Linked DNA regions of Medicago truncatula. The protein of the gene in region 3 interacts with the protein of the main gene of each other region in a pairwise test. Links are inferred from orthologs where the notes say so. Each region holds a gene or a part of one and is shown on either strand. Other genes may lie near its edges.

What was found.
Region 1: the proteins of protein TRANSPARENT TESTA GLABRA 1 (region 3) and transcription factor KUA1 interact in binary tests that used the Arabidopsis thaliana proteins (3 or more experiments, as listed by UniProt). The link is inferred for Medicago truncatula from reciprocal best matches to the Arabidopsis thaliana genes TTG1 and AT5G47390.
Region 2: the proteins of protein TRANSPARENT TESTA GLABRA 1 (region 3) and transcription factor bHLH92 interact in a two-hybrid assay, tested with the Arabidopsis thaliana proteins (2 studies listed by BioGRID). The link is inferred for Medicago truncatula from reciprocal best matches to the Arabidopsis thaliana genes TTG1 and BHLH92.
Region 4: the proteins of protein TRANSPARENT TESTA GLABRA 1 (region 3) and WRKY transcription factor 44 interact in a two-hybrid assay, tested with the Arabidopsis thaliana proteins (2 studies listed by BioGRID). The link is inferred for Medicago truncatula from reciprocal best matches to the Arabidopsis thaliana genes TTG1 and TTG2.

The regions. Positions count from the first base shown.
Region 1 is NC_053045.1:49,443,043-49,450,871, reverse strand, and holds the start of transcription factor KUA1, read right to left. Parts: upstream 3,027-7,829; 5' UTR 2,829-3,026; coding exon 2,549-2,828; intron 1,250-2,548; coding exon 1,041-1,249; intron 331-1,040; coding exon 1-330. Other genes in the region: uncharacterized protein, read left to right, coding at 6,441-6,467, 6,539-7,123. UniProt on the Arabidopsis thaliana protein: Transcriptional repressor. Direct regulator of the transcription of peroxidase (Prxs) and reactive oxygen species (ROS)-related genes via the recognition of 5'-ATCACA-3' motif.
Region 2 is NC_053042.1:15,355,470-15,362,024, reverse strand, and holds transcription factor bHLH92, read right to left. Parts: upstream 1,997-6,555; 5' UTR 1,953-1,996; coding exon 1,584-1,952; intron 1,325-1,583; coding exon 1,043-1,324; intron 923-1,042; coding exon 800-922; 3' UTR 513-799; downstream 1-512.
Region 3 is NC_053044.1:45,902,067-45,908,349, forward strand, and holds protein TRANSPARENT TESTA GLABRA 1, read right to left. Parts: upstream 2,083-6,283; 5' UTR 1,841-2,082; coding exon 812-1,840; 3' UTR 520-811; downstream 1-519.
Region 4 is NC_053048.1:47,312,276-47,319,426, forward strand, and holds the start of WRKY transcription factor 44, read right to left. Parts: upstream 3,005-7,151; 5' UTR 2,870-3,004; exon of another isoform or gene 2,815-2,869; intron 2,681-2,814; 5' UTR 2,571-2,680; intron 1,978-2,570; exon of another isoform or gene 1,969-1,977; 5' UTR 1,922-1,968; coding exon 1,715-1,921; intron 1,445-1,714; coding exon 1,313-1,444; intron 613-1,312; coding exon 1-612. UniProt on the Arabidopsis thaliana protein: Transcription factor. Interacts specifically with the W box (5'-(T)TGAC[CT]-3'), a frequently occurring elicitor-responsive cis-acting element. Regulates trichome development, production of mucilage and tannin in seed coats, and maybe root hair development.

The DNA.
Region 1 (7,829 bases), on a different chromosome or scaffold from region 3:
CTTGGAATGTACTGGGGTTGGCTTCACCACTTCATGTGTTTCTTTCTTAGGAGCCGGCTCAGGACTGTATCCAGACCAATAGGGAAGAGGAAAAGGGAAGAATGGAGAATAATATGCCGGATATACTACTGGGTAAGCCGACGCTTGTGCATTGCTGTCGGGCTTTAATGGGGCAGAGGCAGACTCTCCATCGTTTGAGTTTGTAGAATCCATCGATTCACATTCTTCATCGAGCGGAGGAGGAGCAGGCAAAGGGTTATTGCCTTCTGTTTCAGTTTGTAGTTGATTAGCTGACAAGAAGTCTTGCGGTACCATTGAAGTATCAGGTGCCTGCAAAATCAAAACAAAAATACAAGAAATCCAGAAAAATTAGAAGGTTCAGAAGGAAAAGGAAAAGTGAGGTTACATAATGCTTATATAAATTTCAAAAGAGAACCACATCAGAAAATGCAATGTTTTTCCTCCAAACTAAATACCAATATTTTAAAAATCAGTACCGACATCAAATTGGTGAGAAATACAGGTCATGGTTCAATGAACTAAATGACAAATAAAAAAAGTTTTTTAAGAAAAAGTATTAAAAAAAAAACGGTTGAACCAGCCACAGTTGAACTGCGGTTCAACCAGCCAGCTATATAATTGGATTCAAACCAACCAGGGAACTAGTTGGTTCCCTCTCAGCACAACCGGTTGGTTGGTTCAGTCCGGCTATTAAAACATTGCTAAATACCCTAGAGCCATGGTTCTATAAATATCTAACCCGAACATTATTAATACACAGAGAGGTCATCAACATCCAAAATGTCCAGGAAATGGACAATTTTCCCAAATGGAAAACAGTGTCGTGTACATGAGACTCACTGACTTAATTTTCAAAGTATCCATAAAAGGTCAAACAATATCGTTAAAGAAAGAAACACATTTGGATAATCTTATCAAATGGTAATGAACAGGTTATGTGGCATCAATTTCATTATATGCAACATAATGTAAAGGAAACACATTTTATGCAAATAGAATTTGGAAATAAGGGGACAAACATCATCTGCAACAATATCAAACAGGCTGGACCGTCTCTTTCGCCTAGACACATTGCTTTGCCTGATGAAATATTTTTGAGCGTGACTGGCCACTTGAGTAGGTGTCCTTGATATAACATAGTTCCTGGCAATTCCACGCCAATCACCTTTGCCCAGCTTGTTCAATCCAAGTAAAAACATTCTATGTTCCTCCTCAGTCCATGGAGTGCCTGAAAAAAATATATTAAAAATCAAAAGCTGACAAAAACAACACAAGAATTTTCCGTGATCCCCGTTGAAGCTGACTGTAATATGAACTTCAAATAGATAAAATTCAAATTCAGCTAAACAGTACTGGTCTGAAACCTAGTTAAATGAGTCAAAGGCTTTAGGCCCCCAAAAAATTATACCTAACATTGACTATTTGAATGTTTAAAAAATAAAGCTTTAAATGCTGGCAAAAATAGCCACAAATCTCATTTGAAGCAAAAAGGTCTATCTAAAGTTTGATCTAGGCCCTACTCACTCTTGGGATGGATCGGAAGCCAAACCTTGCACATAGTATTAGATTTAGGGGAGGAAATAAGCTAGCCATGTTGTCGTTTAAGAAATGTGACCCTATTCAGGGTTGTGTGTAATCTGATAAAACTTAAGAAATCATCATCAAAAAGACCATTTTTTTCTCTGTCTTGACCCTTCGGTTCCTACTTCCTAGGGGAAAGGGCCTCTGGTAATCCAGAGTTCGACCTAGACGAAAATAAAGCTTGGCCAAAGATTGTTTTAGTCATGATTCGAACTCAGGTTCTCCTGAATTATTCGTCTTTAAGTGAAAGCTCATTAGAGCCGAACTATATAGCTAGAAAGAGCATATTCTGCTATTGCTTGCAGATCATTAGGGGTGAAACAAGCTAGACAAGGTTTGTTAAACACCTGCCACAGCCTGGTATTTAATCTATCATCATAGACTTTTTTCAACGCGTTTATTTTTTTTTTTAATGTAAAATATAAAGCCTAGTTTAGATAGCTGAAACAGTGTAATATATGCATATTAATGGACCACATCCCCCATAATTAGAGACTAGAATACACAACACATCCAAGTTAAACAGACACCAACCCAATAGACACTAAATAAGTAAATATGAGTAATTTTGAAGCACATGAGAAACATTGTTTTTGAACCACATGGCCTAAGACTTGTATCTATCCATTTCTTAGACCAAAATTCAGATACAAAATTCATGAAACATTCCAATAATTCTCTCAAAAGAGACAATCACTAATAAAGTTAACACGTATCAGTACCTTTCTTGTCTAGTTACTCCTACAATTACACCAACCAAAAATCAAAAATATAAATATTTTTTTGTCATAATCGTAAATACAAACCAATCCAAAACAAGATCACATAATTAATCCAATATAGTTGAATTCATCTAGCTCAAAAAAAAAAAACAGAACAAAATTAAATTCCAAAAATTCACATGCAAGCAAAAGAGTTAAAAAGAAAAAGGTTTTAAGAAACAAACCCTTTTTTCTTTCACGGGAAGTAGAAGAAGAACCAGGAACAAAATCCTCAGAACCATAGCCATCAGCACCATGATCAGGGTTTTCACCAGGTGAACCAGGAGTATTTGACCCGGTATTCAAAAGTCCAGACCCGGACCCGCTATAGTGGCTAAGATTACCCATACTAGCACTTTTCCGGATCCCATCGGTTAATCTTACTCCAAACAGCTTCACACCACGATTTGGACAGGTTCTTGAGTTGTGCCCATTGTGGCTGCAATGAGAACAACGACGGGTCATGATTTCTGAACCGGATCGAAGGAGAGAGGTGAATTATCGGGTTTTGAAGATCCGAATCACAGGATCCGAGACATGAAATGAAATTGAAGGTTTTAAGGTTTTTGTTTTTTTTGGTTTATTTGAGTTTATTATTATGTTTGGTTTGGTCTCCCTCGGGTTTTGCTGCAGAGAGAAAGAGAAAGAGAGAAAGACCAACAACACAACACTATCCATTTATCTATCTTGTCGTGGATAAAGAGAGGTAAAGATAAGATGCTACGCGGTGTTTTTTTTATGATACGTGATCGTTTCTTTTTGACCGTAGATTTGTTTCTGATTGTTGACGTGGCGGAGGATTAGAAGTTGAGTATAGTGATTGGGTTGCTTTTTTTTCTTCATGCAAGTGATTGGGTTGCTTTCGATACAGTACTTATCATCATCAACTTGATGAAACAATTACGTACTACTTTTCTTCGAAAGTGAGAAAGATAATATTCAGAATTGCAATGAAAAAATGTAGATATATATATATATATATATATGGATATTTTTGGATTAAACATTTGTCTTGGGAATTTATTAATTGTAAAAATTATTTAACAACTTTCTCTTTATTCTTCTATTTCTTCTTTCTCGTTCATTAGAAATCTGTTTTATCCATTAAAAAAAAAAAACACACACTAAATATCATTTCCTAAACACCAAGAGTAGCCTAGTGAAAAACTAAAGCCTTGGTTGATAAGGCATCCCAAATGATGGTCTAAACTTAATTCTGAAATTAGGAACATATTTAGCAGGGATAATTCACGTGGGTATATACTTCCAAACCTGAAGGTTGAGTATATTCTTGTGCAAAATAGCATCTCTATCTTTTTTGGTACAAAAGAGGATTGTGAATGCTTATCCACCTTATTATTAGTTATCCCACTCCAAAGGTCGTTTTTACCACCATTTCTCCAATTACAGTATTTATTTTCAAAGCCCTACTAAGAAGATTTAAAAGCAAAGCCATCCATTGTTAAAAAAGAATTGAACACAATAGTACTTTGAGTTTAATTAGATACATATCTATCATTTAATTATTTAATGTCATGTCATATTTTCTGTTTTAATTATTTTAAAATAAAGTTAAATTTTGCCTGACCAAAAAAAAAAAAAAAAGGTTAAATTTTGAATGAATTTTGTCACGGAGTATCAATATCCAACCAAAGTTCAATGTGTTTATGAATAAAAATAAAAATAAAAGAGCAAAGCTATCCATGAAATCAGTGGTACCGAATATATTTAAGATGTGTCCAATGAAGTACTTATTGTTGACTCTGAGTTTGCGAATGTTATTTACTATAGTGATGCATTTTTTCAAATTTATATAAAAATACAACTCCCTCGATTCCTTTTTAAGTGTCATTTTAAAAAATTTCCACGAAAAATAGCAAAGTGTATTTTTGCACATTTTCTTCCTATTATACCCTCAATTTAATCCACCAATATATTTATATATTTTGGCACACACTTTATCTTTCTAATAAATTTAATATGTTATATTTTTTCATAACAAACATTTTTTTTTTAGATCGTAACAAACATTTGTTACTTACTATCTTTTTCTCCAACAATTTTTTTTACACACTCCTTCTCATAACAAACAATTGTCAATTTTCGAAATATTGTGCACAACTCTTTAATTAATTTAAGTCAATATAAAAATTATTCCAACTTCACATTAATAAAAAGCTAAGAAAAAAATTATCTGTCCTCAAACTTATTTAATCAAAATTAAGGCTTCAACTATGGCTTTAACCAATGCTAGATCCACACTGGATGAAGATAACTTAGTAGAGCATACAGAAAAGAGCAACAATGGTACGTGTACAATATTTATCTCTTTACATTTGTTTAAATCTGAAGATAACAAGAAACAAATTTTGTTTTAAAAAAAAAACTTAGTTTAAAAAAAAAAACTTTAGTTTTTCAAATATATAACATTAATTAATTTTATTAAAAAAGATAAGAGTAACCAAACAAAGAAAAAAATATGAGTAATTGACAAATCGTACCATTAAAATACCAAAATGCAGTTAAATAAGAACAAAAAATTAACCTTAAAATGACACTTAAAAAGAAACGGATGGAGTAAATGTTAAATATATCTAAATACATACAATCGAATAATGACTATGCGATTTTTTTTTTTGTTTTAAATTTATTTATTTTCTATGGTAGCTGGTCAAACAACTGACCTTCTGGAAAGTTCATGTGATACACCTCTTCTAACATTTTGTGCGGTTAAGCTACCAAATTTTGGGATGATTTATTTTTTAAAATGACTACATTTATTTAATGAAATATGACGATAAATTTAAAAGACACAATAACATAAATATAAGGAGGGGTTTCATCAACACAAACAAATTCACAAGAGACATAATAACCAATTTAGCTAAGAAATGAGCCGCTTGATTCGCAACACGGTAAATATTTAAAAAATTTAAAGTAATGATACTTGATGTTAGTCTTTTGCAATCTTCAACTATTGCACCCAGTGGCGGAGGCACATAGTGCTGAGGGGATGCACTTGCCAACCCTCAAAATTAAATTTTTTCACATATATCCCTATGTTTTTAGCACTTTGAACCTCCTCATATTTTTTCTTTGCACCAGCTGACCCAAACCACCATCACTCACTCATTTACACATTTTAACTTCTCTCTAAACTATCTTCTCTTAACTTAGAAAACCCTTCTTCCTCCACTTCCACCACACCGGCGGCAGAACCACCACCAAACTCCACCGCGCCACCACCCAACCCATTCTATCTTCACTCTCGCGACCTTTCAACTACCATCTACAATCACGTTTTAGTTCTCTCTCCATCTCAAAAATCAGTTGCAATAAATCACCACCGTCTCCACCTTATTTTGCCGTCCTCCGCCGTCGTGCAACCGCAAAGGGACATTCAAAAGCTTTCAAAGACATTGAATCTACCACCAAGGTAATCAATTAAAAATCTTTGGTTTAGGGTTTTGAAATTTGGATTTTTTTTTTAGATGACTTCAATTGTGATAAATTGGTTGATTGAATATGCAATTGAGGGTCCTAATGATATGTCTGTGTTGTGAAATTGATTGGAGAATTGTTTTAAAGTGGCAATTTAACACTCATGGTTTTTTTGTTGTAAATGGTTCGCTTCAGATTTTTTAGTATCTGTTCAATTTGTTCAAAATGCAAAAAAACATATGAATCCTACTAATTTATCATGTTATTCTATTTGTTCAACTTGTGTGTTTCATTTCCATGTTGCTTTGTTTGAATCATGGTGAATGAGCTTCTGTTTTGATTTTTAAACCAAGAAACTAATATGAATCCTACTAATTTGTTTGAATCATGTTATTCTACTTTGTTTGAATCCTACTAATTTATCATGTTTCATTATAATAGTGAGTGAGCTTCTGTGTGACATTGTTTTACTCTAATGGGGATGGATGGTAAGAAAGGAGTGGTAGCACTAGATGAAAATGTGAAAGAATGTTGTTTTTTATTTCATACTCATTGAATCTTAAAGTTTGTTATTGTGTTTGGTGAACTTGATATTGATGTATAGTTCTATAACTGATGTTCTTGAAATGTTGAGAGATGATGTATCAATTAAAGATGGAAGAGGTGAAGCAAAAGGTCTTTTAATTCTCATGAATACTTTTGATTTTGCACTCACATTGCATTTAATGAAAAAGGTCTTAGGTTTTTCAAATGAATTGTCACAAGCATTGCAAAGGAAAGATCAAGACATCGTCAATGCTATGAACCTAATTAGCATCACAAAGGAGCGATTACAAGCTCTAAGAGATGATGGATGGGAACCTTTATTGGAGGAGGTAATTTTATTTGGCAATAAGCATGACATTAACATTCCAAGCATGGATGATATATTCTTCCGTGGAAAGTCAATACGTGGAGGTAACGCTGAATCTATCACAATAGGGAATCATTACCGCATTGAATTATTTTATACGGTTGTGGACATGCAACTTCAAGAACTTAATGATCGTTTTAATGAGACAAATAGTCGGTTGCTCATTTGTATGGAGAGTATGTGCCCAAACAACTCGTTCTCTAAATTTGACAAAGCAAAGTTGATTGAATTTGCAAAGTTTTATCCAATTGAATTTTCTCCAACTTCATTGGTGTTGCTTGATAGTCAACTTGACACTTACATCTTTGATATGCGTAGGAGTGTTGAATTTGCATCTTTGAAAGGAATAAGTGATCTTTCAAAAAAAAAATGGTTGCACTCAAAAAACATATTGATTATCCTTTAGTCTATGGACTTTTGAAGTTAGCAATGATTTTGCCCGTTGCCACATCAACCGTTGAACGAGCCTTTTCTGCTATGAAGATTGTGAAGTCTAGATTGCGTAATCGAATGGGAGATGATTGGATGAATGATTGTCTCGTGACTTATATTGAGAGAGATGTGGCGGACAAAATTGATGATGAGTTGATTATTCAACGATTTCAGAAGATGGCACCGCGTAAGGGACATTTGTAAAGAATGGATGAAGTTTTTTGAGTACATTGTAAATTGAATACAATGTAATTTTTTAGATATATATTATTATATTTATTATAAATTAAAGTTTAAAATTTTGAACCTCCTGACCCTGGGTCCCGGCAACGCCACTGATTGCACCTATATTATAAATAAATAAAGTAAAGAAAAGAGAATAAGAGCTTATACTCGGCAATGTCAATGACTCGTTATTACCTCTAATTTTAATTGAAAGTTTAATTTTACACCCTTATTTATTATTATGCTTATTTCTTTCGTAAATGAATAATAATAAATAAAGTAAAGTAAACCAAGTGAAGTCGAACCTCCTTATAAATAAACACTTATATTTCATAATATTAAATTGTTTATCCAAAGTAAATTGTTTATCCATAGATCGACGTATCTGTGTTACACAAACAAGAATTAGCCATATACATAGGGACGTACAAACTTTAGTTTTTTTTTACTACATG
Region 2 (6,555 bases), on a different chromosome or scaffold from region 3:
TTCATTAAATGATGTATGTGATCTTTATTATAGGCCACATACATCATTTAATGAATAAATGTAAAATGTTGATTTTTGCTTATGATAGTGACCAGAGGGTGTAAGCTGTTGTTGGGCTGATGTGTGGTCTCGAACAATGTGTATACTTCAAATAATTAAATGATTTGTATTTTCATATGTGCGTCGAAGGGTGCGTTTGATCAACTAAAAGATAAGAGTTTGGATAGGAAAACTTCAGTTGTAATGTGTTTGATTGTAAAATTGTTTGAGAGACCGGAGAAATTAGGGGCATAGAGACATGACAAAATTGAAAATATTGTCCCTTACAGAATACATCATGACTTTTTGTCCCAAATAGAACTCGTATAAAATACAAAAATATTTTTTTGTCCACCGAACATTGCATAAGACAAAGAATCAATACCACAAAATTTCATCATGTGTTATGATATTTTGTTTTATATTGTTCTATCTCATACTTACCTTTTAAGAGATCAAACACACCTGAAATCTTATGTCCAAAAACTTGTGTCTATTAAGTATTTTCCCAAAATAAGATTAAAAGCCAAAATAAAATTTACATTAGAGACTAATTTAGTACTTATTCATCCAATGAATAATTAATTTATTTGATCCAAAATCTCCTAGTCCTAGCAGGGTAGTTTCTTTTTTTTTTTTACACAAGCTATAGTAGGCTAATACAATAATAATTCAAACGACTTATGTACATACAACAGTAGCATAACATAGAAAAGTCAATCGAAAAGCCATATTTTTCTATTTATAAATAAACAAAAATTTATCCAAACTCTTCATATTCTATTATTTGCTTATTTGAACCTTCCGGGACATGAGAATGAAGCTTCCACTCAAGTTCATCAAGTAATCTCTTAATAGCCTTTTCCACATCAGTTCCTGCAATCTTTCACCAAACCAACAGATATTTAGCATAAACAAATCTTAATTTTTTTTCAAATCAACTTACACTAGAAATCTTAATTAATTCTATCTTGTATAGTTTTATAAAATTACACAAACATACCTCAGATTCTATCTCTAAGACTAAAAACAACTCCTGCTGAGAAAAATTTGACTTGATGCTTCTTGTATCAACACCATGGTTTTTCAACAATTTCAGTGTCTCAACTATAGAATCAATTCCAGATGTAGGACATGGCACTCTCAAATATTGAATTTGTTTTCTTCTGTCAATTACTTCAACATTTTCTTCAAGAACAAAGTTTTTCCTTTCCAATTCCTCTTTGCATCCTTGTAGCCTTTGAATTTCCTTAGCTGCTGTTTGAACTACAGAATTATTATCTGTCTGCCATAAAAATAAAATAAAAATTTCAACATTAAAAATAGCTTGAAATGAAAACTAAAAAATGGCTTATTTTAAAAGGCTCATCTAATCATAGTAATATATGTTAATCATGGTTTTAAAGTGCAGTCTGCAACCATAATTATGGTCATAATATAAAGGATTTTGATGTCTCTACAACGATATAACAGCCACAATATAAAATTTTGTAGGATACCGAAAATGCAATGTAAAACTATGATGTGAATGTTTTTATATATACTTTGGTTCCATGAGGCAACACTGCATGTAAATTGAAGCAACATTGTCTTTGTCTTTGTCTCCTCATTCTTTCACTAATCATGTGCTTGAAACCACGTTCTCTTTCACATTCTGCTACTTTATTTCTCTCTAAAGGCAAACTTTTTCTCAAAAATGCAATCATCCTCTTGTTCATGTTATTTGAATTGGACCCTTTTAGAAAACTTTGTTCCCCAAAACTAATATTGGGTTGGTCTCTATATTGAACAAAAGCACTTAGATTTGGTGTAGGACAAGGTTGTGTTAGAACAAAACTACTTTGGTTTGTAGGTAAAAGAGGTTCATCCCAAAATACATCACCTAGAAGATTTTCAGGAAAAAACTGTTCCATCGTGTGATATGATTATTAATTTAGTTGAAGAGTAAGAGACAAGTATGTTCTTGGTGTTTGGTTTATATGTTGAGGAAATGGTGTGCCATACTTTGAAAACGTGGTCAATTACACTGTTGTGGCCATTCGTGGGTCAAAATTTGTGCATGCAATTAAAGTCTTACTTTAAACTAAAGTTGCTTGTTTTATGCTTGCCCCCAATCAAGAATTCACGCATGGTAGGCCCACCATCCATATTTGAGAAAACTATAGTCATAGTCAATTCTCCCTCCAAATTGAGTGTTTGTACAATAAAAACTTTTGTTTGGATTAACTTTGTTTTGGTAAACCACAAAAGAAATTCCCAATTATGTCTACAAGTTTAGATATACTTTGGGTGAAAGACTAATCCATCAAGAGTTGTTTAGAGAAGGAATCTTATCCATTGGTTTTCAAAACTTCTCAACAATAATATCTCTACTAGGATTTTGATCTTTTCATATCAATTGTAAATATAAATGTTCTATGAAAAATACAAAAAAAAATATATATACAATATGACTACGTAAATAATAGCAAGAGTAAACCTTCATTTCCTCTATAAAGTATCATTCTTTAGAGAGTTGGCTCAATATGCATCTTTAGATGTCTAAAACAAACTTTACACTAAAGTCTCTTAGACTTCAAAATTAAAATTAAGGTAGGATTTATTAAAATAAAATAAATGAAACTTTGTTGAGTTTAAAATTTAAACTTTGGTCAAGTTTTGGATTGGGCTAAGGCCCATTCCACTCAGACTCGGGTCTGGTCAAGGACTCAAGAGCAGACGATACTATACGTTGTACACGCCCTAAATTCCTTTGGAAAATAGCCCGGACCAACAAATCATGACCTTCCAATCTGGATCGGATGCAAGAGGACCGCCCAGATGATCACACTTGTTCCCCAATGACAATTATCTAGGTGAAGGCTTGACAACCAAAATCCTACTTATCCAATATATACACATGCTTAGCATTGGGTCAGGTAACACACTTCTTACCCTAATATTAATCACACTCTCTCTTGAACTCCTCATTGATTTCGGCGTCAGAGCACATGTAGGTACACCACCATCTTCGATGGAGACAAAGGTAAGGTGACCTATTGTGGACAACAAAAGCTTAATCCCTTTACACAACGGATCCTAATCTGACATACCATCTTCTTAAGTCCAACCGAAGAAACCTACAAGTGAGACACCAAAACATAGGGATCTAAAGGAACCCACTAACAGGTGTGTACACCGATGGAACTCCAGGAAACCCACGCAATGCTAGAACAGTGCAAATAGTTAACCTTCTCCGAGATCTAATAGTAGTGATTCAATGTCAATATCAGATGATGGAAACACTAGGTGAACGTTTGGCTCATGTTGAGGTTGGTCAACGCCAACCACACATTGAAGCCTCAAACCCTAGCCAAGACGTCATCATTCCAAAACAAGTATTTCGGGGAACAATGACTCCTCAATGTCAAAATGAAGCACAACCTCGACCGTCCTAGGTTGTAACTAGGAATGACGAAGGAGAGGGTCCGAAAAGGGGACGAAAATAAGTATGCAACCAACATTTTCCAGCTAAAGGTCGTCGTGGCAAAATGAGCTGCAAAGTTTTGCTCACGAGAGGCTTCTGTCGAGAGAAATCCAGTGAGGTAAGCTCGCATGATGTTAAGCCTGTAGAAAAAAAAACGCTTTTACAAGTAAGATCAACGATTACCCAATGCCATGGCGTGGTTCTGAAACCTCAAGCCTCACTCCATAGGATCTCGAGGAGAACTGTGCAAGCATAAGGCTCACTTCATATCTTTTAGGAAACAACCAAATTTTGTCGACAGTTTGGCGGCTATATACCATAACCTAGGAGAACGGGTAAAGGAATACCTTGAAAGGTTCAACAAACAGGCCATCCAAGTCCATAGTGCTGACAAAGAAATGAAGATGTACCGGCTACGAAAAAGGATGACGTCGAATACAAAATTCATAGAGAACATCAAACTAGACAACCCGAAAAACTTTAACCATTTGGTGGAAAAAGAGGAAAAGTATAGACAATACAAAAAAAATTGTTGAAGGTCGACAAAACAAGAACGACCTGAAACGAGAATATGAACGAGAACCCTATAATAAAAATCTAGGAAGAGGAGGCGAAAGGTCCTATAGAGCCCCCTAGAGATTACCTCCAAAAGTATCGCGAGTACACACCTCTCAACGCCTCACACGAACAACCCAGGAAGTTACAAGATCAAGTTGGAAGTGACAAAAGCAAATATTAATGGTTCCACAAAGTCCAAGGCCACGCCACTGAAGATTGCTTGCAGCTGAAAGATGCCATCGAAGATTTAATCCATAAGGGAAGCTGCGAAAGCACACAAATCATCGGGATAATGAACCAAAGCAACGTGAGAAATCCATACCTCCAAAGAATAAATCCACTAACAACATGAGATCTTCCAAGAAGAGGATAGTAGAGAAGCCAAGGAACTTTCCTATGACACTTAGTGTGTCTGACAAATATTTTATGAACAAGATGACTTACATGTGGAGTAAGAAGAAAGCCCTGGCGATGAGAAGGTAAGAAACCCCTAGAATCTCCCCATGATTTTCACTATGTTTGGAGGAATTTAGCATAAAGAAACCAAGATAATAAAAGGGGCACTCCCCCTGGCCGAGAGACATCCTAGGCCCTCCCAAGAAGATGAGATCTTGGCCCATCAGAACTCTCCAGCAGTGCTACTCATAGGGGAAGAATCACCCCACGAACAAAGAGGCGAGGTTGAAGTTATGGAAAAACTATGAGACCAGACTGGTCAGACACATGCCACTCACTATGAGACTCGAGGATAGTGAGTAGGTTGAATCTATATCATGTTGATGCACCGATTACACCTGATCCAGGGATTTATCCCCAATTGTCGGAGGACATCGAGCCAAGTCTAGTATGTCACGACACCCTCCCTCATGGTGCAAAGGAACCAACGGTATGAAACTCCATTATAGGAAGTTTACAGATAAGCAAAGTGGAAACAAAAAAATTTGTCAAGAGGAAGCTAAACAAAACTATGGCACCAGGGGAGTGCAACTTTGTGGCGAATGCCACAGTAAAATAAAGGCCACCTATTTAATTCTACGACAAGAATATGCTAGCAGGGCGGCCAAACTACCATATACTACTGATGGTACGAGTCGTAATGGCTAACGACAAAGTTTTAGTAGGTGTACTCAAATTATCGAAGTAATAAAATATAAAGATCATATCAGCATGGATTTCTTAAGTTCTACTTAGAAAAAATGTTATCATTAAGGATGTATTAAAATTTGGGGGGTTGAACATGGCAAAGAGTTGGTTTAAAAATCATAAATTAAATAGCAAAATGTCTATGAGTTTGTAAAGATTTTTAAGAAAAATGATCTGGTCTTTCAAATCCTCTATTCACTGTTTGATAAGCTACACCTAGACCCTATAAATGTTGTTCTAATTTCATGATGATTAACAAAATAGTTATGATTAATCTCTTGAATCATAACCCACTTTTAAGATTACAACCCCCCTAATCTCTTACGGTGAGTCTTTAATCTTCGAAGGTTCCATGGAAAGTTAATCTAATATCACAACCTAACAATTATCTATCTTTAGATTGGCTCGTTTAATTTTACAATATAATTAGATCTAAGTCAATAGGCAGTGCTAATAGTCAATTGATCTATAAGTTCATTTCATATGTAATCAAAATATAAAAAACATTAAATACAAATTATGCTAAATAAAAGTAGAATTGTATTTATATTGAATAGAGTTTCACAACGTACATGTCTCAAACAACTAGAATATAATCATCTCATACCTAATCATAAGGAGTTTAGCTAGTCATGGCTAATGCACAAATAACTAATGTAAAAGAAAACAACATTACATGAAATTAAGACTGAATTTGAGTTGGATGGGAAGCCACCACAAAATCTGCAATCCTAAGCTTCAAATGTGTCTTCAATCTACCAAATATCCAAACCCTTTCCCTAAAATGAAGTTGGCCTTTTATTGATCCAAATTTGTAACGTGTAAAATGTGTCTTGATTTTCTAAATTGTGTCACAATTCCACACTAGCATTCAAATCTAAGAATTGGCGCTCTCGAGATCGTGTCACGATTTGTTCCGATCATGCCACAATTTTGAAGAATTGAAATGCTTCATAACAAGTTCAAATTGTGTCTGATTACTTCATTTCGTGACATGATTTACAATTTCCTTGTTTCTTAATTTTCTATCTTTTCTAGCTTCAAAACAACCTAAAATCACTTGAACTCTACCAAATATGCATAAAAAAGGCTAACTATATGACACATTTGCATCACAACCCCAAACTTGTATCGTTACTTGCCCTCAAGGAACAAACATATTAATGAAAATTAACAGTAAAATATCATTTACCCCACCAATAGTAGTATCAAAATTTAATCTCCTAAACCGACATTTTGACGAGCTGGTTTGCTTGTCCAAACAACCATTTCTACAACTTCTTGCAGGTGATTAAAAAGGGTACTAACATTCAACTTACAATATTGTCATATTTCCATACGCTTCAAAA
Region 3 (6,283 bases):
ATATACGAAACTCCAGCTCTAATAACAAGGGGTTAAGTTTTCTTTAAGCTTAACTGCTACTGAACTTCTTTGACTAAATATCTACATAAGTGCCAAAGATAACCCCAAACCACATCAAGGCTTTAGCAACATTTAACAAATAAGCATTCTTTAGATTGCAACCACTTGGGCATATAAACCATCTTTCTCAAAAACTAATGAGGTGTCAAAGTGCATGATCAAAACTACTACTGAGACATGCATACAAGGAGGCAGGTTGTTCAATAACACAAGAAAAAGAATAAACTTTGACATTTAACAAGGATGATCTATCTAGATGTCAGTGTTGTCAATCGCGGATTGCGGAAAACAGCATTTCGTTGAAATTCTGCTATGCTATCGCGCCGCCACAATAGCAGCTATTTGATAACTAAATAGTGGATCGCAAAACAATAGCAATTTGTTTAAATTCCGCTGTCCGCTATTTGACATTACTGCTAGATATGCAGTAACTAAACTATTCAATTGGCCAGTTCCATCTTCAATTGAACAAGCAAATGTAACCTCAATTTATGCTATAAGTAAAACATGAAACTAAAATAGTTCGCCCTACCCAACAATTACAGTAACCAACCCACTCTCACATATGAGATACAGCAATACTTTAAGACCACCAAAAGAATCCATGTCATGGCATACTTCTATAATTTAATAGATGATCAAGTTAAACTAAACTACTCATCAGTCACAACTTACAACAACAACAACAACACAATGAGTAATTGGTTTTCCAGAACTACAAGTAAATTATTCCCTCACCTGAAATTCAAACTCAAACCCTCAAAAGCTGCATTTTATTAGCAAAAGCAATAGCAATCCAATCAGGCTGAGCAGCAGACCACTGAAGCTGATTAATTTCACAACCAGCAGAATACGTAGTCATCGGATCAATCCCATTCGGACCAGCTACAGCCGGCAACTCCCAAATAAGAGCCTGTGCATCATCCCCACCGGAACAAATATGCTTTGAACTTCTTGGAGCCCAAGCAATAGCATTAACACCAGCGCGATGTCTCTCCAATTCCGCGACCGGTGTAGTTGGTGATCTAATATCCAAAATCACAACTTTATTACTATCCATCAAAATCGTGGCCATATACCTCAAATCCTTCTTGTTCCAAGCTAAACGAAGCAAAGGGGTATCAGGTTGCGGACTTTCATAGATAATTGTTGAATGCTCTTTATCCCTTAAATCAAAAATCCTAACAGACCCATCAGCAGAAACCGAAGCAAAAACCCTTGATTCCCCCCAAGCAATATCATAAACCTCTTTATCATGCGCAATTAACTGCGTTTCAACAACGCCTCTTTCAATGTCCCAGATAGTACAAGTAGTGTCAATACTTGAAGTTCCAATTCGTTTGGGCTCAATTTCATTCCAATCAAATGATGTTAAAGGAGCACAAAACTCACTGGTTTTGCTATTGTTGAAAAGAGAAAGAGCTTCAACGGAATTTTCACGAACTTCCCAGAGACGGAGATAGTCACCGGAGGTAGCAAGGAGGTCGGAGGAGGTTTTCTGGAGAGAAGAATGTGTGGCGGGATGGAACATGAGTTTGGTTGGTGGGTAAGGGTGATCGAAGGAGAGTGAAGGTTGAGGTTTGAGTGAGAGGGTATCGGGGTTGAAATTGAGAATATCGATGCGGTTTGTGTATTCTTCGATGAAGCTTCCGACGGCGATACGTTGTTGTGGGGAATTTGTGTTGGGAGAGATGGACATGGCGTAGAGTGGGTATGGGGAATCGTATGTTACGGAGTTGTTATCGGATCGGAGATGGGATTCTTGTGTTGAATTATCCATTTTTGGTGGATGGTGGAAGAAGGGGAAGGGGAAGAGAGACAGGGAAAAGTTAGGTGGGAAGTGAAAATGAGAAGATGGGGTGACTGAAGGAAGGGCACGAGCCTTAAAATCTCAACTGCCTTATTCTTCTTCACTTGACATTCTTCGTTCCTCCTACTAGCATAATATATGGTATGCGCCAAAATTGACGAGAAGGTACCTCCACGTCCCCAATTTGTGTTGTGTTAGCCACCAAGAGCATGTCCAATGCATCTACATTATGTTATGGTAGATCAACTCTTGTGTTGTGTTTAGTTTCCGAAATTATAACTACCACGATAGTTTGAATGTATCGAAATTTTAAAATAATTTTTAATTATTCATTTCGTTAGTTAAAATAGTCTCTCATAAAAGTAGAATAGGTTAAGTCAAGCTACATTCTAATAAACTCAAGACTGGCCTGTCTAAAATTTTAAGACTTAAGTCTAGTTTGCGGTTTATCATAGAGTTTTTAAAGTGAAGATTACAAACTCAATTATATCATTACTCACTTTATTGAAATATACAACCTTCTTAGCATCCAATTCAAAATCCACATTTGTTACTTGTAGAGCATGCATTCATCGGTAGAGCTGTCGAAAATGGGCCGGTCCATTGACCCATGTTTTTGGACCGGGTCGGGCCTAAAAAACTACCCCAAAAATGCACTCGGGCTTTTTTGGCCCAAGCACATTTGGGCCATACAAAAGTTGGGCTGGGTTGGGCCACCGGGATTTGGGCCGTCCCATATTTCATTTGATTTTTGTTAAAAAAACAATATATTTTTTAAAGGTTAAAATATGTTTTTGGTCCCTGCAAATATGGCAAGTTTGGGTTTGGGTTTTGGTCCCTAGTAATTTTTTTTTTAAATTCATCCGTGCAAAATTTTTTGTTTTAAAAAATAGTCCTTGTCCCCACTTTACTGATGATTTGGCACATTTTTACCTACGTGGCATTCGCTGACTGTGCATAAGTTATACATGTGGCAATTAAAAATTATATTAACATTTATAAAATAAATAGGTAAAACATAAAATAATTTTTTTATTTTTAATTAACAACATAAATACATAAAGGGGATAAAATTTTCTTCTTCATAACTACCATTCTTCTTCGTGAATCTTCTTCTTCATTGCAAATCATTTTTTGCATCACTTTCTCTTCCATCTATTAATTTGTTTTCCTTCTTTGCCTCGTATGAAATCGGAAATCTCACTCATTCCTTGTCAAAATTTCACCTCACATATTCAATCTATCTTTCATATTGTTTTCAGATGAGTGGTTTCTCCTCATTCTTAACCCAAATATGAACCCATTCATCCCCACTATTCACAGAAAGGAGAAAATGCTCTAATTTTCACAAAGAGGCTCCACTCATCTCCCACCGTCGTGAACAACAACAACAACCTTCATACTTAAATCTGGCCTTTAAACACTTATCTAACGTTCAAACTCAAATTCAAATTATCATACAAAAGAGATGACTCTGTTGGAACCTGAAGCATGAATTTGTTGCTTTCTCAAAATTTGGATATGATTGAAATGGGTTTGATTTGGTTGAGGGGTTTAAATGGGTTGGATTGAAAGGGGAGAGGGGAAATATTGCAGAGAAGAAAAAGAAATAGTGGTTTTGTTACGGAAAAATTGGGGACCGAGAGAGTGATTTTTTTTTGGAGAACAAGTTTTTTGTTGGATGATAAATTAAGTTCTTCCGTCTTTCCCTGGCCTCCCCAACACACTCTTGATACGAAAGAAACCTCCCGCCATAGAATAGAGAAGAAAGAGATCTAAAGTCTGGGTCCCCTCGATCACCCTTCCCTTGAACCTGAACTGGTCGAGAGAGATGAACCCGCACCACATTTGATAACCTTCGAACTGAAACCCCCAACTAGAGATGGAATTCCAGAACCTAAACAACTCAATGGAGAGCTCCGTGACCGGTTCAATTCAAGGGAAGGTCCACCAATAATGGAAAGGCCATTCCCCTCCCTATCTGTTTCTTCTTTTTGTTCATGTGGATCTTGATTTGAATTAAGTTTAAGTTTATTGTTGGGTTTTGTTCATATTCGATGATGAACTAAGTTCTTCCCTTTTTCCCATTGAAATCTTTCATTATTTTTGATTGGATTATGAATAATTAGATGAATATATGTGATAAGTTTTGGATGAACATTTGGGTTGAAGATGATGATATGCGTTACTGATAAATGTTTTGGATGAAGATCTTGATTAAAAAAAAATTGGGTTGATGATGAATGTTTAATGTTTTTCTTTTGATTTTGGTGGGTTTAATGGTGAATATGATGAAGGGGAAGAGAAGGAATTTTTAAAAACAATTATTTTTTATTTTATTTAATTATATTTTGTAAAAATAACATATTAAATTATTAAAATGATATATAAATAATTAAAATATGTTAAATGACAGATGTTTGACACGTGTGCATGATTACACAGTCAACGAATGTCATGTAGGCAAAAATGCGCCAAATCATCAGTAAAGTGGGACCAATGACTATTTTAAAAAACAAAAAATTTTACATGGATGAATTTCAAAGTTTTTTTTACCAGAGACCAAAAGCATATTTTAGCTTTTTTTAAAAATTATCAACTAAATTAAATTTTATTAATAAAAAATATTAAATAAATAAACTTAATAAATATGAATAAATTTAGCTTAAAGTATTAAAATTTTAAAGTTTATAAATTATCAATTTGATTTAATTGAAGGAAAAATCTATAGTTTAACTATTATTCAACGTTAATGTAAAAATTATTTACATTTTTATGTCCATCCAAATCATATTTTAGCAAAAAAATAGTGGTGTGTAACTAATACATAAAAAATACATATAAAAGAGTGATTAAATTTAAAAAATAAAACTAAAACGGGCCGGACTGACCCATGGCCCACACGGGCCGAGCTTGCCCATTTATGTAGTTGGCCCACGCGGGTCAGACCGGGCCGGGCCAGCCCATTTGACACCTCTATCCATCGGATAGCATGTGAGAGTCTCAAAGCTTCTCATCTGTTTCAATGTATGATTTGTTGATTGCATTATCTTATTTTTAGTCCTTAAATAAATGGGTCTTATGTTATCGTCAAAAAGGAAAGAAAATGTATGATTGTATTATCTTATTTTCAGTCATTAAATAAATGAATATTAATCCATATGTTCTAGCTCAACCGGTAAAAATGCTGAAATTGTTAGACCGGAGTTCGAACCCCGGTACCTCCACTTGTGTGTGAGTTTATAATAGTTTTATCATTCCGTCTAGGCTAAAATATGCTTTTGGTCCCTGCAAATATGGCGAGTTTGGGTTTTGGTCGATAGTAAAAGAAATTTTTGAAATTCATCCCTGCAAAAAATTTTGTTTTTTAAAATAGTCCTTTGACCCAATTTCTTGTTGATTTGTCTTATTTCAGCCTATGTGGCAGATGCTGACTGTGTCAACTCGCATATGTCGCATTAAAGTATTTTATAAATATTTTATAAATCATTTACTAAAATAAAATTAAAATTCATAAAAAAAAAACATTGGTTTTAGTCAATATGTTTCATCTTCTTCTTCGCGTGTTTGTTCTTCCGGTACCACCACCATCAAGCCCTTCCTCACAAAATGAAAGAACACACAGATCTACATTTTCTTCACATGAATCTTCAACCAAAAGAATCTTATCATCTTCAAACCAACACTCCATTCCAAACTCATAAACTAATCTAATTTCAACCCAAATCCAACAACTCGTTAATTCTTTATCCAACCTTAGAATACAAAAAACTCAAAGACCCATATTATTCTTCCGTCGTCATCTTCCTTCCAACCCTCAAAGTTACAAGATCCTTCTCTAACCTGTCTCTGAAACCAAGTTTTTACTCTTTTGCCACTGCTCTATTCTTAAACCCATAAGCTTTTTCTAGTATCTTATTCTTTCCGGATCTTGTTATTCTTGAATTTGGGTTGAAGATTTTTCCAAGATCTTCTCAAACCGGATCTAGAGAAAGCAGTGATGTCACTGTGTATTGTGGCAAACATGAATGGTTTCGTTTCAGATCCAATTTTATAGTGTTGAGAGGGAAAATTTGAGATATGGAAATTAGGTAATTTGAAATTAGCTGTTTAAAATTGAAGCAATTATAACCTTGTGATGCTTCAGTTTAATTGTTGTTGTGCCTGTTGGGATTGTTGTTGTGCTTGTTTGGTTTTATCTGTTTTTGGGAAGCTTCTGTTTGACTGACTGGTATGAGGAAGAAGAAGATGAAAGTAACATGAACTCTAATTTCAATTCTCCTCCCTTTATATTTTAATAAATTTAAAATATAGAAGATTAATACAATAAATAAAATAAATAAAAACATTTTCTGATTTATTAATTTATTTAATTCCTTTTAAATTCCACGTATTTGCCATGTGGCTAACTTT
Region 4 (7,151 bases), on a different chromosome or scaffold from region 3:
CTCAAATCCTTTGCTTCCTTCCTCACATTCCCCACTTAGACCACAAGAAGTTTCTAGAGCAGAATCATCAGGCAGTGAAGCTTTGACTTGATTCTCTATTCTTCCTTCATTCCTTTCATTCTGATTACTATTATTACTCCATACTTTATCTTGAACCATTCCATCAGAAATCATTCCTGATGTTGCTCCCGAGTTTCGCTTTTGATGTTGTGGCTTTCCATGGTTGTGTTCACCTTTATAAACAATTTCTGCAATCTCACCATCTAATGATCTTTCAACTTTCTTTTTAACTGGACAATTAGGATATGTGCACTTGTAATAACTTCGAGGATACTCGCTTCCTTTTACTTGCTTCTGTCCATATTTTCTCCAGTTATATCCATCATACGAAGGTCTATCAGCATTATTTGTGGATGGTAATGCTTTTTGGTCCTCCTCAATGTTCTGTGGTGCCATCATACAAGATTCTGTGGCCTGATATGTTTCTGTAGGAAGGGTAATGTTCTGATGTAATTTCGAGCTCATGTTAGCTCTAAAGTTGTCATGGTTAAGATGCTGAGGATTGGTCTCCCTTGATTTCTGTGGTTGTTGCTGATTAGTACTGCAAATTCCCTTCTCCAGAAGAAGAGAAAGGGAGGTAAGTATTAGGGAAAATCCAAGTCTCGTTTGAAAAGAGATAAAATCTAAAATTAGTTTTATAAAAAGAGGCACCTCTCACTTTACAAGTTGATTTTGTAAGGTTGAGTAACCCAATAAAAAATTCCAATAGTCACTGACACAAATGTAGCGGATAATTTATTTTGGAAATTTCTGTTAGAATTTGGTTTTGGAGTTAACTCAACCTCCGAAGTTAGCTCACGGAATGAGGGGTTGTCCCCTCACTTATAATCATCGTTTATATCATTGCACTAACCAATGTGCTCACATCCAAAACACGACATCTGGAGCGTAAAGTTTACATGCCTAAACATCTGCAGGTGGTCCAACAAATCTAAGATAGGATTTGATAACATATTTGATTTTTTATTTAGACTTAGCATATAATAAGCGAGTTGCTGTCACTTACAATGTTATTCTTGCTTAATATGACTGTCAACCATCTCAAAACATCTATATTGCTTGATGAATGAAGAGTAAACTTTCTGAATAAACTCATATCATTGATCAATTGGTTGAACAAAAAAGATTACAAATGAAGGATTATATATAGGATGAATAATAAAGTAACAAAATATAACAGAAATAAAACTAACTAAGCTAACTCATATGCATGTGAGAAAGAAGTGTATGATATGTGTGTGTAGATACTGACCATGTTTGCCAACAGAGAGACGGTTGTTTGTGACACAAATTTTGCCATTGGTTTGTAAATGAGAGATTGATTGGTATCAGGTTTGGGATCCATGTCAGAAGAACTGCTAAGTGCACCTCCAGAAATATTAACCTGTAATTGGTAAAAACACAACATACATTAGAAACCAAGAAGCATTTCAAAACAGTATGGCAATGTTTTAAAAACCAAAACGGACATCAATCCGGCATGACCTCTAGGTCATGATTCAACCGTCTTAAACCGCTCGAATCGAGACGAAACCAAAATCGAACTGCCAAAATAACCACACCATAGTAGTGGTCCGTTCAAGGTTCACTCGGTTGGAACTTCCAGTTCAGTTTTTAAAACACTGCATTATGGTATGTTGCACTGAATGTTCACCTGAGAAGGGGGGATATTCATTGCTGGCTTGAACCTCACTGTCTTTGGCCTAATGGCGGATATTGTAGTTTGAGAAGATGCAATTGGAGGAGTGGAATCGATTGCACCTGCTAGAAGTTCTGAGAAAGATTTGTAAGAAGAACAAGTAGGCCTTGAAGCAACTGGTTTGGCAACAACTACTCTTTCTGCTTCTTCAATATCCATCATGAACTGCTATGTTTCGCAATGTATGATTCTGTTTGCAAGACTTTCACCTTCAAAAACTAACAAGGGATTTATACTTATCAATGGTAGGTAGGTATAATTAAATAACATTAAAATTTGCAAATTACATACACAAAGGTTTAATAATGGTTCCTAATGCAACTGTTTGTATTAAAAGTGTCAACAACTCAAAGTTTCAAAGGACAATAATAGTGCAAACATAATCGTAGACTAAAAAAGTTCTAGTGTAGTCCCAGATATAATAGCTTTAAACGATTTAACTAATCCTTCCCATTAAGACATGTGTTAGCATTTTCCTTTTATCATTATCTCACAAATCAATAAATGGTGTTCGTTCCAAAGACATGAAAGGATGAGCCTGAAAAAAGAAAATTCAAGTAAAATTTGAGGCAAAACCATTTTTTAATGGTGAGGTCTTACTATTATTTTAGAATTTTAATCTACTATTGTAGTCCCCACCAAAAAGGGAACTTTTTAGCAGAATGAACAACCTTGAAAGCCTAATAACCAAAGCATAAAAAAAGAGAAGTGGTTATTGATATGCATGTTTGGTATGATTAATTATCTGCTGAAATCATTGCGAGCCACCGTGATATCAAACATGCACGATAATTAGGATCAACAAACTAACCTGCAGAAAGTCAAGAAAAAGCTGTAACTTAACATGCCAAAGAGTGACAGCTTTGATTCTGTGACTTCTAATTTCCCAAATTGCATGGAACTGAGTTAAATTAACTCCTCCTGCATTACAAGAAGGGTCAAAATAAATAAATAAAAGTTCCTACAATATATATGACCATAAAAAATTCAAAAAATGATCCATGAAATCTATAATTGGGCTTGGGAGTTGAGAGAGTGAGAGGGAAACAACTTACGTAAATAAATACTAAATACTATGTACTAGTATTTATTTTATGTGTACATACTAACCATACAGAAAATGAATGTAAGAGGGAGGAGATAAGAGAGGAAGTGTTTTGATTCCAAAAGTGAATAAATAAAGTTGGAACTTGGAACACATGCTTGTTACAATCTACAACTACTAAAACTATATTGGAAATTAAAAAAAGATGAGAAGCATTGTGGATATTAAGGATTGGTTGTTCCAACCCCCCACATTTGTACGGACAACTAACTGTCAATATTTCTATCGTTTGACCAGTTGTTGGGGTTCACTGTCACCAACATAATATAGATAAAATACTAGAAAGAAATAAAAGTGAGATTTTGTTTTGTGTGGAAAAGATTGAGGATGGAAAAATGTAGGGGTGGGTATGGTTCGGTTAACCCAAAAAACCGAATCAAATCGAATCGAAATTTTGAAATGGTTCGGGAAAATCAAACCAAACTGTTTCAGGTTGTGAGCTAACCGAACTGAACCAAAGTTATGGTTTGGTTAACCATTTGCTTACTTATTAACCATACCGAACCGAACCAAAACAAATATTATTTATCCAATGAATAAAATCACTTTTATTATAAAAAATAACAAATTAAAATTAAAAGTTAGAATAGTTTATTTCTTCAAAAACAACTTATCTTATGCAAAACAGTTTATTTTAAAAAGCAGCTTATTCAAAAAAACTTATTTTATGAAAAACAATTTATTATGATCTCTTTTTAAAAATAGCTTATTCAAAACCGCTTATTTTGTGCAAAACATCTTATTTTAAAAAATAGCTTATTCAAAACAGCTTATTTTATGAAAATACCTTATTTAAAAAAAAACAGCTTATTTGATAAACAACTTATTTTCTGAAAAACAACTTATTTTAAAAACAACTTATTCAAAACAGCTTATTTTATGCAAAACACATTATTTTAAAAAACAGCTTATTTTATGAAAAACAACTTATTTTTGAAAACAGCTTATTCAAAACAACTTCTTTTATGAAAAACGGCTTATTCAAAAAAGCTTATTTTATTAAAAATAGCTTGTTACGACCTCTTTTTAAAAACAAATTAATCAAAACAACTTATTTTATGCAAAACAACTTATTCAAAACAACTTATTTTATGCAAAACAACTTATTTTAAAAAATAGCTTATTTAAAATTGCTTATTTTATGCAAAACACCTTATTTTAAAAAACAGCTTATTCAAACAGCTTATTTTATGAAAACAACTTATTTAAAAAAAAAAACAGCTTATTCAAAACAACTTATTTTATTCAAAACATGCTTCTAATAAGTTGTTTTTTGAAAATAAGCTGTTTTGAATAAGTTGTTTTTAAAATAAGGTGTTTTTCATAAAATAAGTTGTTTTTTGAAAATAAGCTGTTTTGAATAAGTTGTTTTTAAAATAAGGTGTTTTTCATAAAATAAGTTGTTTTTTTAAAATAAGTTGTTTTTCAAATAAGCTATTTTCCATAAAATTAGCAGTTTTGAATAAGCTGTTTTTTTTTTAATAAGTTGTTTTCATAAAATAAGATGTTTTTAAAATAAGGTGTTTTGCATAAAATAAGCTATTTTAGATAAGTTGTATTTTTTTGGAAAGATCCATCAAAGAGTTCAAGTGGTTTCCTTAAAAAAAAAAAACAGTTTAAGTGGTTTGGTTCGGTTCGGTTCAAGATGGTTCGGTTATGGTTCAAAAACTATTAATAAATTAACGGTTCGGTTATTTTTGGTTCGGTTCAATTAGGTTCGCGCGGTTCGGTTTGATTCATGGTTCTTTTTGCTCACCCTTAAATAAATGTGTTAGTCCATCCACTTATCCCACATTTTTCAAAGTTTTGAACCCGTCACTAGTAGTTGACTTGGTCCGCTAAGAAAACATATAGGTTGAGGGTGGTTTGGAGTTCAGATATGTTCCATTTAAATAATGTTTCATTTAATCCATTTAAGTTATGATGCACGACATGTGACAAAGAAACATCTAATGGTTCAAATTTAAACAATCCAGTGTGGTCTTGCAGCTGCCATCAAAAACCAGTTTTTAACATCGTTCACCGTCCATTATTATTCTGGTTCCAATTATCCCTTTCCATCTCAATTTGTTCCAACTCAACAAGCCAAACCCATTTGAATTCTCATACTAGAATCTGAAACAAATTTAGGGGAAATTAAGAATGGTGAACAATAATAATGATATAGTTGTAAAATTAAGCAATGAATGGGATTGAAGAATTGGGATTAATGCAAATTTTGTATATTTCTGTGTTGTTTGTTTTTTCTTCTCAAATCGATCAATGTTTCACTATAATTTCGACGGGTGTGGAAGATGAAAAGAGCGATGCTTGGTTGGTTTGTGTCGGCTACGACAAGACAAGGCTGTGATGAAGCGGCAGGTGGAGGTTGATGACAACAGACGGTAATGCAAGGAAGAGGATTCTGATTTATTACTATTATTATTATTTTATTAAACAAACAAATAATTGTTTTTAAGTTTATATCTCGACTCTTAAATATTATTTTGTCATATGTCGTGCATCCATGAACTAAATGGATGGAGCAGACCTAAACTCGGTTCAGCATAGGTCTAAAAAATTTCACTTCTTTTTCATTATAACTTGCAATCTAATTTATATATAATTTCTCCTATTTTGACAGAGAATGAACATTAACTTATTTAATTAAATCACTTTGTTTGATGATTTTAGCCTCTTGTTTACAAGAGTTAATCAGTTGATTAATAATTAACATCTTATTTTGATTGCCTTGTTATTTCCCTTTTAACTCGTTTTTCTATTTTCCTTTTATTGAAATAAGTTATTTCACATCTATTTCGTTTTTTATTTTGTGATTTCGTCGTCTTCGTACAACGTTGGTTGTTCGTCGTCTTTGTGCGACGTTGTTTGTTTTTCTTGTTTCTCTCAGGTATTTGATCACTTCAGATTGTCAGATCAGCTTCGATCAAGTGCAGATCCAATCAATGACTTTGACGTCATCCACGTTGTAGATCCGGAAATATGATTATTCCGGAGATTTAAATATAGTAATATGTGTAGACATTTGTACTTTGCCGTTTTATGTTATTAACATGGATGTTGTTAGTCTATTCACAGATTCATCCTTTTTGTTTTAAGTGAATTTGCATTATATTGATGTTCTCTTTCAATTTGAATGAATGAATATCTTTTATTTTGTCAAAAAAAAAAAATTGATTGCCTTGTTGGCTACAATTCAAATTGAAAAGAAGTCAACATATCTTCACCTCTAGTATAACATAAATTTTTCACCTTTTTCACTTGTCAATATTTTGTCTTGTTTGGAGGGGGTCGAGAAGACATTGTTATCATTTCTCCAAAGCACCGCCAAAAATGCACAACATTAAGATTTTTGACGCTTTCCTACTTTTAATTAATCAAATAACAAAAATATGCATCTCAACACTTCCAAAAGAAAATTAATATGCATCGTGACCCTATGAGATAAAAATAACTATCATGCAAAATTTATGACATTTGCATCATTTGATTTAGGAACATAAAATCCCTAAAGATTTCTCTTTTTTTTTTTTTTTTGTTTGGTTTCCCAAATGTTTTCTAAACGAAGTTAACCTTATTCAAGACACGGTCTATCACTAAAAGTGATATCTCTTCCAATATTGATTTGAACCTTGGTTTGGCAAATATGTTACCCTTCCGTTAGAATCAACTACGGTAGATGAAAATCCCTATAGATATAGCTGTGAACATCATATTAATTTTTAAAATTAAAAAAAAAAAAAAAAAAAAAAAAAAAAAAAAAAAAACACTGATATCTCGAGTTGAAACTGATATAGCTGATAAAATTCAACTTTTTACATACTACACTTCCAATGGAACCAATCACTGATGGCCGCCCCAAACTAATATTGAAAAAACAAATACAACAATAATACAAAAATCCAAATTATACTATTTTTTATACCCATAAAAGAAATTAACCTTTCTTTAATCAATTGCAACAGACTTCAAACTTAATATAAAACAAAAAACAATATCTGGACGACAACTTCAACCACAGAGACAGGACAATAGCTGATTAAGATATGAAGGTCAAGCAAAGAAAAATGTAGAAGGAAAAGGGGCTTAAAGGTGCACAAGGGTGACTAAAAATGAGCAATATAAAATGTAGGGCACAATCTATCTTGCACCAAGAAAACTTATGCAGTCAAGAGCTGGTACAGTGCTCAGTCTTAGTTTAGCAGCAGTTTAAACTTCCTGGTTGGCAAATACTAAAGCCAACCAGCTCGGCCAGCTGCATTGTAATAAAACTCCACCCTATCACAA